Linked DNA regions of Oryza sativa Japonica Group. The protein of the gene in region 3 binds, or shares a complex with, the protein of the main gene of each other region. Links are inferred from orthologs where the notes say so. Each region holds a gene or a part of one and is shown on either strand. Other genes may lie near its edges. The genes, in order: photosynthetic NDH subunit of lumenal location 3, chloroplastic; NAD(P)H-quinone oxidoreductase subunit O, chloroplastic; NAD(P)H-quinone oxidoreductase subunit S, chloroplastic.

Evidence for each region.
Region 1: NAD(P)H-quinone oxidoreductase subunit S, chloroplastic (region 3) and photosynthetic NDH subunit of lumenal location 3, chloroplastic share a complex: the UniProt entries of both Arabidopsis thaliana proteins name them as parts of the chloroplast NDH complex. The link is inferred for Oryza sativa Japonica Group from reciprocal best matches to the Arabidopsis thaliana genes NdhS and PnsL3.
Region 2: NAD(P)H-quinone oxidoreductase subunit S, chloroplastic (region 3) and NAD(P)H-quinone oxidoreductase subunit O, chloroplastic share a complex: the UniProt entries of both Arabidopsis thaliana proteins name them as parts of the chloroplast NDH complex. The link is inferred for Oryza sativa Japonica Group from reciprocal best matches to the Arabidopsis thaliana genes NdhS and NdhO.

What each region holds. Positions count from the first base shown.
Region 1 is NC_089041.1:312,223-315,236, reverse strand, and holds photosynthetic NDH subunit of lumenal location 3, chloroplastic, read right to left. Parts: upstream 1,572-3,014; 5' UTR 1,498-1,571; coding exon 1,230-1,497; intron 1,094-1,229; coding exon 693-1,093; 3' UTR 512-692; downstream 1-511. Other genes in the region: kinesin-like protein KIN-14N, read left to right, coding at 29-196. UniProt on the Arabidopsis thaliana protein: NDH shuttles electrons from NAD(P)H:plastoquinone, via FMN and iron-sulfur (Fe-S) centers, to quinones in the photosynthetic chain and possibly in a chloroplast respiratory chain.
Region 2 is NC_089035.1:42,962,868-42,966,407, reverse strand, and holds NAD(P)H-quinone oxidoreductase subunit O, chloroplastic, read right to left. Parts: upstream 2,089-3,540; 5' UTR 2,024-2,088; coding exon 1,783-2,023; intron 1,633-1,782; coding exon 1,577-1,632; intron 1,451-1,576; coding exon 1,385-1,450; intron 1,270-1,384; coding exon 1,228-1,269; intron 1,150-1,227; coding exon 1,090-1,149; intron 993-1,089; coding exon 963-992; 3' UTR 660-962; downstream 1-659. Other genes in the region: phosphatidylserine decarboxylase proenzyme 2, read left to right, coding at 3,061-3,291, 3,437-3,516. UniProt on the Arabidopsis thaliana protein: NDH shuttles electrons from NAD(P)H:plastoquinone, via FMN and iron-sulfur (Fe-S) centers, to quinones in the photosynthetic chain and possibly in a chloroplast respiratory chain.
Region 3 is NC_089041.1:5,276,672-5,279,458, reverse strand, and holds NAD(P)H-quinone oxidoreductase subunit S, chloroplastic, read left to right. Parts: upstream 1-1,085; 5' UTR 1,086-1,176; coding exon 1,177-1,914; 3' UTR 1,915-2,139; downstream 2,140-2,787. UniProt on the Arabidopsis thaliana protein: NDH shuttles electrons from NAD(P)H:plastoquinone, via FMN and iron-sulfur (Fe-S) centers, to quinones in the photosynthetic chain and possibly in a chloroplast respiratory chain.

The DNA.
Region 1 (3,014 bases), about 5.0 Mb from region 3:
TGAATGATTTTGTTCCCCTTGGACACAGCCATGCCTTGGAGGAGACTCGAAGACACTTATGTTTGTGAATCTGTCTCCAGAGGTGTCGTCTACAGGGGAGTCAATTTGCTCGCTACGGTTCGCAGCACGGGTGAACTCGTGCGAGATTGGCATCCCTCGTCGTCAAACCCAAGTGCGTAGCTTGGCGCAAGGATGAGTTGGCTTGGACAAAATGAATGTCCATGACTAATTGTATTTGTGTGTTGTTTGAGGGATGCAATGGATCATTTGCATCCCCTCCGTGTGTTGGTTGCTTAGAGGGTGTGTATAATATTCTGATTTGGCATGTGGCTTTGTTGATTGTACGAGCATCGCATTGCATTACATTACAGATAGTACTGTAGTATCTAATTTGTGGCTGCATCAATGTGCAGTGGTAGTAACAAGATGTGAGGTTGGTTGTATTTTATTGGAGAAGTGCCCTGTGTTGTGTTGGGCTGGCTTTGTTTGGATGATAAAGACAGACAAGTAATTGGAATTGAAATGCTCTGTTGCTTTTTAGTACTTACTGAGTATGAAGTTATATTGCATAGCGTAGATGTGAATATGAATATGTGTGTGATGAGGAGGATATATATATATATATATATATATGTATGTATGACAAGTAAAGTGAGAGAAATACAGTACTAGCTAGTACACCAACAGAAACACTAGGCCATCTTTGCCATGACCTCCTGGAGGATGATCTTGGTGTCGGCATAGGAGGAGCCGATCTGGGTGTCGTCCTTGGTGCCGCAGGCCTTCTGGAGGCGCTCGAAGCTGTCGAAGAGGCGGGTGGCGAGGTCGAGCAGCGGGGGGCGCTGGTCGTCGGAGGCGGCGGAGATGAGCTTGTCGAAGTCGAAGTACATGAAGGTGGACTTGAGGCGGAGGTACTTGGTGACGTAGTTGGCCCTGTCGGCGTTGTTGCCCAGCAGGTCCTCCAGCGCCAGCAGGTCGAACGCCGTGCTCCGCAGCCTGTACGCGTGCGCCGCGTAGCTCGGCCCGATGTCGGCTATGTAGATGCCGTTCCTCACGAACGTCCGGCTCCCCGTCTCGCCATTGTTCAGCTCCTCTGCACACACAATATATATATATATATATATATATATATATATATATATATATATATATATATATATATATATATATATTGCAATCACTATATTTATATATTTTGTGTGTGTAATGGTAATTAATTTACTACTCACTGTTGACAATCTTTGGCACCGGCAAAGGGAACTCGGTGAGCCACCACCCATTGTTTGCCGGCTCGTCGTCGGTGGCGGCGCAGGCGGGATGATGCTGGAAGATGGTGGCGGCGGCGGCTGCGAGGCCGACGGAGAGGCAGGCTGATCTCCGTCCGCCAGTGGAGCACGCCGCCACGAGGAGGAGCAGCCTCCGTGGTGTTGGCCGGAGGAGGCGGCTGGTGCTGGCAGTGGCGGCGGTGAGGCCTGCTGATTGGAGATAAGTGGCCATCGAGGATGTGTGTCAGTGTAGCAAGGGAATGAATGGATAGCGCGCGATGCCACGAGAGGATGAGGAAAACCTTCGCCTTTGCAAAAGTGCACCACATAGATATTTCTCTCGGTTTGATGGGGCTGCCTCTCCTAGGGGCCGACAGAATGGCTGCATGAAGGAATTAGTCTAACTTGCCTCCCTCCTCTCTCGCTCTTGATTGAATCGTCTCTCTTAACCGCTAAACCTGGTATAATGCCTCCACCATCTTCTTATTCTGCAGGAGGTGATTCAGTGATTTTGAGTTAGTTTGTTTCGTTTTCCACGCACACACTTCCCGAATACTAAACGGTGTGTTTGTAAAAATTTTCTATACGAAAGTTGCTTTAAAAAATCATATTAATCAATTTTTTAAGTTTAAAATAGTTTATACTCAATTAATCATGTGCTAATGTCTCACCTCGTTTTGTGTATCTTCTCAATCTTCTCTCTTCCTCCTCTCAATCTGGTGCAAACCAAGGCATTTACATGTGGTTAGGGGTGGACAGAAAGCTTGTGGTTCGTTAGCTCACTCGGCTCGTGACAGGCTCGACTTGGCTTGTCTCGTTTGAATTTCCTAACGAGCCGAGCTGGCATCTTAGCTCGTTAGAGATAACGAGCCAGCTCGAGCTGCTCGCGAGCCTTAACGAGCTATGGGGTTACCAGGCCAAGTCAGGTCCACAGCTAACAGCACACATACATTATGGCCCATTGGCCCAATAGACTCATCAAAAAAAACCCTAGTTCACCTCAGCCTGAGACCCTGACTCCCTGTCCACCACCGTCTCGCACATATCGCATTCGCATCGCATCAGCGGCTTGGGCGCTCGGTGCATCTCGGCATCCGCATCTCGGCCATCGCCATCGGCGCTGCGCCACGCCGCCGTGTGAGCGCCATCGCCACCGCGCCAAGCCGCCGCCGCCAACCCCCATCGAGCGCCTGCCGCCGCCGCTCTCCGCCTCTCCCCCAGTGCCCGCCGTCGAGCTCGCCTCCTCCTCGTGGTCCAACCGTGAACTGTCCAAGTGTCGGCGGAGCTGTGAAGGTTGAGTTCATCCCCTCCACCATCGAGCTCCTCTCTGTAGTCGCCGTCGAGCTCAAGCTCGAGCTCGTTTTCTCCGCCGTCAAGCTCCTCCCCTCCTCCCCTAGTTGCAGACTTGAAGTGCAGGCGAGGTTGAGCTGCTTCCTATGCTCGCCGGCTATGTCTCTTGCCCCTAGCTCGTGAGCTTAACGAGCTAGCTCGAGCTTGTTGATGAGCCGAGCCGAGTCAACTCGATATCTATCCCTACATGTGATTCCATTTGTACACGTCAACAAGTTTGACCATGGTTAACTACCCCGTGAGTAGAAACTTTGCAACAATAGAAGAAATCGATTTGTAACTGTTTCGAATTTGGAGGATGCGATTCAGCACAACGCAATAGTGGAAGGAGGCAAAATAGACTTAAGCTATGTTCGATGCCCATTTTACGCGCACGCTTTTTCAAACTGCTAAATGGCG
Region 2 (3,540 bases), on a different chromosome or scaffold from region 3:
AACATGTATGATCTCAACTGTCATTTCATTATTATTTTTCCTTCTAACAAATCTAATGCATCATTCATTTTACCCTCTACTTCTATCTTATTTTACTTCGAGCCAGCAAATCCCTGTGTTTCTTGTGAACCATCCATACATATTTCAAATTTTCATGGGATTAACTCGTAAAAATAACATGCGTTCCAAAAGAGCTTCATAACAAAACAAGGTGGTAATAACATGTGATTAATTAAGTTTTAATTATTACAAATTTAAAAACTAGATTAATCTAATATTTTAGAACAACTTTCGTATAGAAAGTTTTCGCACGAAACACACCGTTTAACAGTTTGAAAAGCGTGCCACGAATATCAAAAAAAAAATATCCTCTCTTCCTAGAGGATTCAAACGGGGCCTAGTGATGGATTTGTGCGTACAGAAGAAGTATGTTCATTAGAGTTTAAATTCTGATATCCGCAGTTACACGTACAATGAGTATTCTTTCAGTAGAACTTTTAGTTATTTCATGCATTACGAACGTGTTTAAAAGAGACGTTCTCATGGGTATGTGCATCCGTTAGCCTATTCTATATCAGTATATCTCTAACATTTTTTTTTTGAAGCTTACAGAATACGATCAGATGGCACGATAATTAGCCATCTCAAAAAATGAATCTGAATAGCTCTGAATATCATCACTTAACTTTTGTTAAATTTTTCAGTTCAGTATAATTAATTTAGATGCGGAGCAACAGGCAACAGCAAATCGCCTCATATTGACATCTATATACAACACATTGTCATATATCACGAACCGACTGAAAACATCTGCAGATTAATCGTCGGAAGAACCGAAATAGGGGAAGAATCTGCAATGCAGGGAAGAAAACAACTGAAAAAACGCTAGTCTGGCAGGCCAAGGACCGATCTCCCACCCGATTGCTGAGCTAGCTTGAACGCAACCTTCGATCCTGTGCATATCATATTCTCTCGTAGTCGAGTTTATCCGACTGTAAAAATAGTGTTAAGATTAAGTGGTCAAATGATGGTACATTCTGCATTTTGGCAATGCTGCATGTGTGATGGACTTAGAGATACTGTAATTACCTTGATGAGCATGTAAGTTGGCAGCCATGCCGGTGGAGTTGGGATTCCAACCCAAGCGATCTGTCCAAACATATGAATGAGATTCAGAAGTCCAAATCTACAAAATATACAGAAGAAATGAAGTGGCAGGTGACTCACCAGGGCATACTCCCCTGTTTCAAAGATTCTGATGTCCAAAACCTGCACGGTAATGACGAACAAGATTATGACCGTAGCTAGAACGAAGATGTTCTTACTGCTAGGTTTAATTAGCTGAAATTAACTTCAGGTTCAGTAAGATGGGCTAAATAATTACCTCGCCACGGTCCTCGTATATGTAGTCTAGCCCCTTGAAGAAAGGCGGGTGTCCAACTGACAGATACTGAATCAATGAAACAAATTTTTAAAAAAAATCATGTGCAGGGGAGGAAATCATAGACTGAAATTACAGCACAAAGAGTAGAAATGAATGAAGCATCTATGCAGTAGCATCGATCAGTGTGCTTACGTTGATGCTGTTCAAGTACTTCTCCTTGTCGACGCGCACAATCTGGCCCTTCTTCACTGTGGCGCATCATCAACCAAATCAATTGGATGAAAATAAATGGATTGGTTAATCAAGTATAAACAAAAAAACAAACAAGAAGCTAAATGGCTTTGATGCTTGTTCAGAACTCAGAGCTGAAATGCAAAGTTGCAAAGCGTATTCATTACTCGAGTAGACAGGTTTCTTCTTGAGGATCTTCTTCGGCGCCGGCGCAGCCGCCTGGCCGTCTCCCGCCGCCGCCGCGGCGCCGCCGGTGGCGGGCTTTTTCTCCTCCCCGGCCGGCTCGGCGGCGGCGGCGGCCGCCTTGACAGGAGAAGCAACACGTCTCCTCCTCCTGGCTGACGCCGGCCAGCACGCGGTTGGCGTGACGGAGAAGAGAGCGCGCGGCGAGGAGAGGAGAGCTTCCATGGCGAGAAGCTTAGCTTTGGCAATGGCAATGGCAAAAAGCAAAGTGACGAAGTGCACGTAAATATGTGCCACATGAATTGCACGCGGCAGATAAGGTGACCACTGGGCCTGAGCTAGCGCTCTCAGTTTTGGGCCAACTGTCACAAAGCTTCAGGCCCAGCTCACCTCATTTGGGTAAGGCCCATATATGATGATTATATTATATGAATGAATTAGCAAAAGAAAAGAGAGAGAGAGATAGACAGAAAAAATAAAGGAGAATTGGAGGAGTCAAGGTCATGGATCATGACACCGTCTTAGATTGTTGTATGCTCGACCTCAGCGAATGAGCGAGCAAATGAGGAATTCCGCTTTAGTTTTATGTCGCTATTTAGCTTGGAAAGAGTAAACAACAGCGGCAAGTGGAAGGGAGAAAAGCGTTGAGAGCAATGCAAAGCCTAGCTTAAGCTTAGGAGGACACCCCCCCCCCCTTTTTTTTTTTTTTTGCAATGGTCATCTTCTACCTTTGCTTCTGCTGGTTTGTGGCACTTGTCGTAACATGCACAATTGACCGATGCCAAGGATCCTTCCTCCTCAAATGAATCCACCGCGTTTTCAACGTCCCCATCCATCCATGATCCATCCCATTTGACCTCTACTTTAGCAAAACATAGCAACCCTTCGAAAATATTCGATCAAACCGGCCCCACGCGTACCATTATTTTGTCTTGCGACGGTTGCGCTGGAAAAAAGCAAAAAAAAATCATGAATCTTCTTCCGCATGTCCAGGTAGTGAATGATCCGAGCATATCCTGGCCCCACATGTCAGTCTAACGAACACCCAGGCGACTCCTGCTTGGGTACGGCCTTTTGCCTTTCCCAGATGTATAACAACTGCCATGTGGAAACTGCCATTAATTATTATCTGTATGACATGTGGGGACCACCCGATGACCCTTCCTCCTACTCTGCCTCGCGTTTAAAAGGTCATCGCCTTTCAAGTCTCTCGCTGCGCCTGCGCGTTGCCGTCGAGTCCAACTACTCCATCTCACTGACAGATGGGCCATTCGCCCTCGCGCCACAATGCATGCGGCGGCGGCGGCGGCGACGGCGAGTCGCCGCCCTCGCCGCTGCCGTCTCGCTTCGAGCGGTTCCGCCGCCGCCTCCGCCTGCGCCACCGCGACCGCGCGGGGCGTCCCGGTGGCGACGCCCACGCCTCCGAGTCGGGGACGGGGAGGGCCATCGCCGTCGACGAGTTCGCCGGCATCGCGCGCATCCGGATAGTGAAGGTACGGGGCCGGGTTGGGTGTGTGTGCTTGCGGCTGCGAAGCGGAGGGGGGTGGAATTGGGGATCGGTGGTTTTGATTCATTCCGTCTGTGTACGCTGCTGCTGTGGTTTTGTACGCGTTGTTTTGATTTGGTTGGTGGCCACAGGCGGATATGCAGTTCAAGGACAAGTTCATCGCGTGCCTCTCGCTGGGCGAGCGCACGTACCGCACCGAGAAGTCTGACAAGTTGAGCATATTTTTCATCTAATA
Region 3 (2,787 bases):
ATTGAGTTATTTTGTGATTCTCTCCATCCCAAAGAAACCAACCTAAGAGGGGATTTGACCCCTCCCAGTACAACGAATCTGGACACTACATCTCCTCTTAGGTTGGGTTTTTTTTTACGGAGGAAGTATTTCTTACGGATAGTAACTTTAGGGGCCTATTTATGAAAAAAAATAAAAAGGGGCTTAAATGTAAAATTTTCAGTCGAAAAACACGAGGTCCTCATCCGAAATTCCTAATTGGCGACTGGTCGCGTGCCCCCTCACCCCGCGCGGATGGACGCGTGGCGCGCGTAGGAGGGGGAGGGGGCGCGGCGGCCGCGCACAGTGGGAGGCCCGCGTTCTTTTTTTTTCGCCGGTTTTTATGGTTGTTTTCTTCGGTTCTTTGTTTTTTTAAAAAAAAAACATCACATATATAAAGTTTGTATATACAGTATACAAAGTTTATATACATACGTATATAAAGTTTATATATATGCGTATAGTGTATATATAAAATTTATATACGTGATGGTTTTCCTCTATTTTTTTTTATTTTTTAAAATGAACATATATAAAGTTTGTATATATATCATAAACTTTGTTATACGTTATATATAAACTTTTGTATATGCGTATATATTTACATATAAAATATATTTTTTAAATAGTACTAGTAGTATATAATAACAGTAGTAGTGGTGTAGTGGTCCTAGTTACCAGTACTAGTAGTACTAGTACTAGTTCTAGTTAGCTGTGTTTATTCTAGAGTAAAGTTTAGATTTTGGTTGAAATTGAAGATGATGTGACTGAAAAGTTATGTGTGTATGATAGATTGATGTGATAGAAAAGGACTGAAGTTTAGATCCAAACTTTGGATCTAAACACAGCCTTAGTAGTAGTAGTTAGTAGTACTCCAGTTACTACTACTTCCTCCGTTTTACAATGTAAGTCATTCTAGTATTTTTCATATTCATATTGATGTTAACGTGTAATAAATGCTAGAATAATTTATATTATGAAACGGAGGGAGTAGTAGTTTAAAGTAGTACAGTGGTAGTAGTACTAGTAGTACTTTAAGTATATACTGTACTCCGTATAGCAGTACCAGTCGCCCATTAGCCACCCCCGGTCCTCATCCACCTAGGCTTTAAAGGCTTCGTCACTTCCACACATCCTCTGCTCCGCTCTGCTCCACCAATGGCGCCCACCACCCCCGCCTCCTTCCTCCGCCCGCCGCCGCTGCCCCACCACCACCACCCCCGCATCGTCCGCCTGCCCCCTCCCTCGGCGACCTTCCGCGTCGCTGACCTCCTCGGCGGCCGGGGTCTCTGCAACGGCGAGGTCGGCATCCGCAAGGAGCTCGCCTCCGACTCCCCCGCCGCGCCGCCATCCACCACCACTTCTTCCGACGAGCCCGCGGAGTCGCCACCGCCGCCGCCGGCTGCGTCCGGGGTGGACCCGGACGCGTTCGACAAGGAGATGATGGGCCTCACCGGCGGATTCCCCGGCGGCGAGGTCGGCCTCAAGGACTTCGTCGCCAAGAACCCGCCTCCCCCCAAGCCGGCGCACAGGAAAGGTCTCGCCGCCGCCGCCACGGTGGAGCGGCCGAGGGCGCCGGAGCTGCCGCTGTTCCTCCCCGGGATGGTGGTGCTCGTCAAGAACCCCAACAACGCCTACCACATGTACTGCGGCATCGTGCAGCGCGTCACCGACGGCAAGGTCGGGGTGCTGTTCGAGGGGGGGATCTGGGACAGGCTCATCACCTTCGATCTCGACGAGCTCGAGGGGAGGGAGAAGGGCCCGCCCATGGTGAACCCTAAGTCCGTGCTGCTCGAGTCCCTCGCCGCGGAGATGGAGGACGATGTGGCCAAGGAGGAGGAGGGAGAGGAGGCCAAGAAGAAGAAGGAGGAGGAAGGCACCGCCGCCGCGGCTTGACCACCATTGCTGCTTCTGCTTCTTCTTGTATGTATACAGCTATCTATATTTTCTTAGATGATGGAAGTGAAAGGGGTATATATATATATATTATCTATTCGATGAGTAATTTCGAAGTGAGTAAATGTGTTGTTGTTAATTGCTATATGTACAGTTGGAATCTTAGTGTGAATTGGCACTATGAAACAAACGATTCGGAGATAAAAGTTTAGCTTCTTTGTTGAATTGCTATATGTTTGATCAATTTGATCACGTTTGGTCCGGATTGCTAGTGAAATGCCTACAAGGGCACCAGTTGCCATAGTTCATTATGTTGGTAGGATTAATTTTTTTTTTTACAAACTTGAATTATCATCTCTTGCTTCTTGAAGCGAAGAGGCTATGACAGTCAGGTAACCAGGCTTTCATGATTGTAAATTGTACAGAGTATGAATGTTCAAGTGTTCGTTATTCCTGACATGACTTCAAAATCCCGCAGTATTTCGCACAGCAACTATCTATGCATTGTAGTTTACGTTTGCCTGATAGCTGGTTTCCCATGATTTTTGTTTATTTGAAAGAGTATATGAAAAGATAGGGCCTTTACTTCTATATAACCTGCCTTACTCAGGAATAAGTGTAGCAGCAGATTTAAAAGGATGGTAAAGGAAGACAGTGAAGTAACAATAATGATATAGTGTTTTGCAAACAGAGTACAATTTGTATTGATTACCACCATCTATATCTATATCTATACTAATATAAAAAGGAGTTGTACCCCTCCAATCCTACGAGCCAAATCACTCGGATTAATCCCTACCGTCCATCCGCGCGCACGAATTCACCACCGCACGATTCCACGCCCAAACTTCACTCCTCCTCCTCCACACGCGA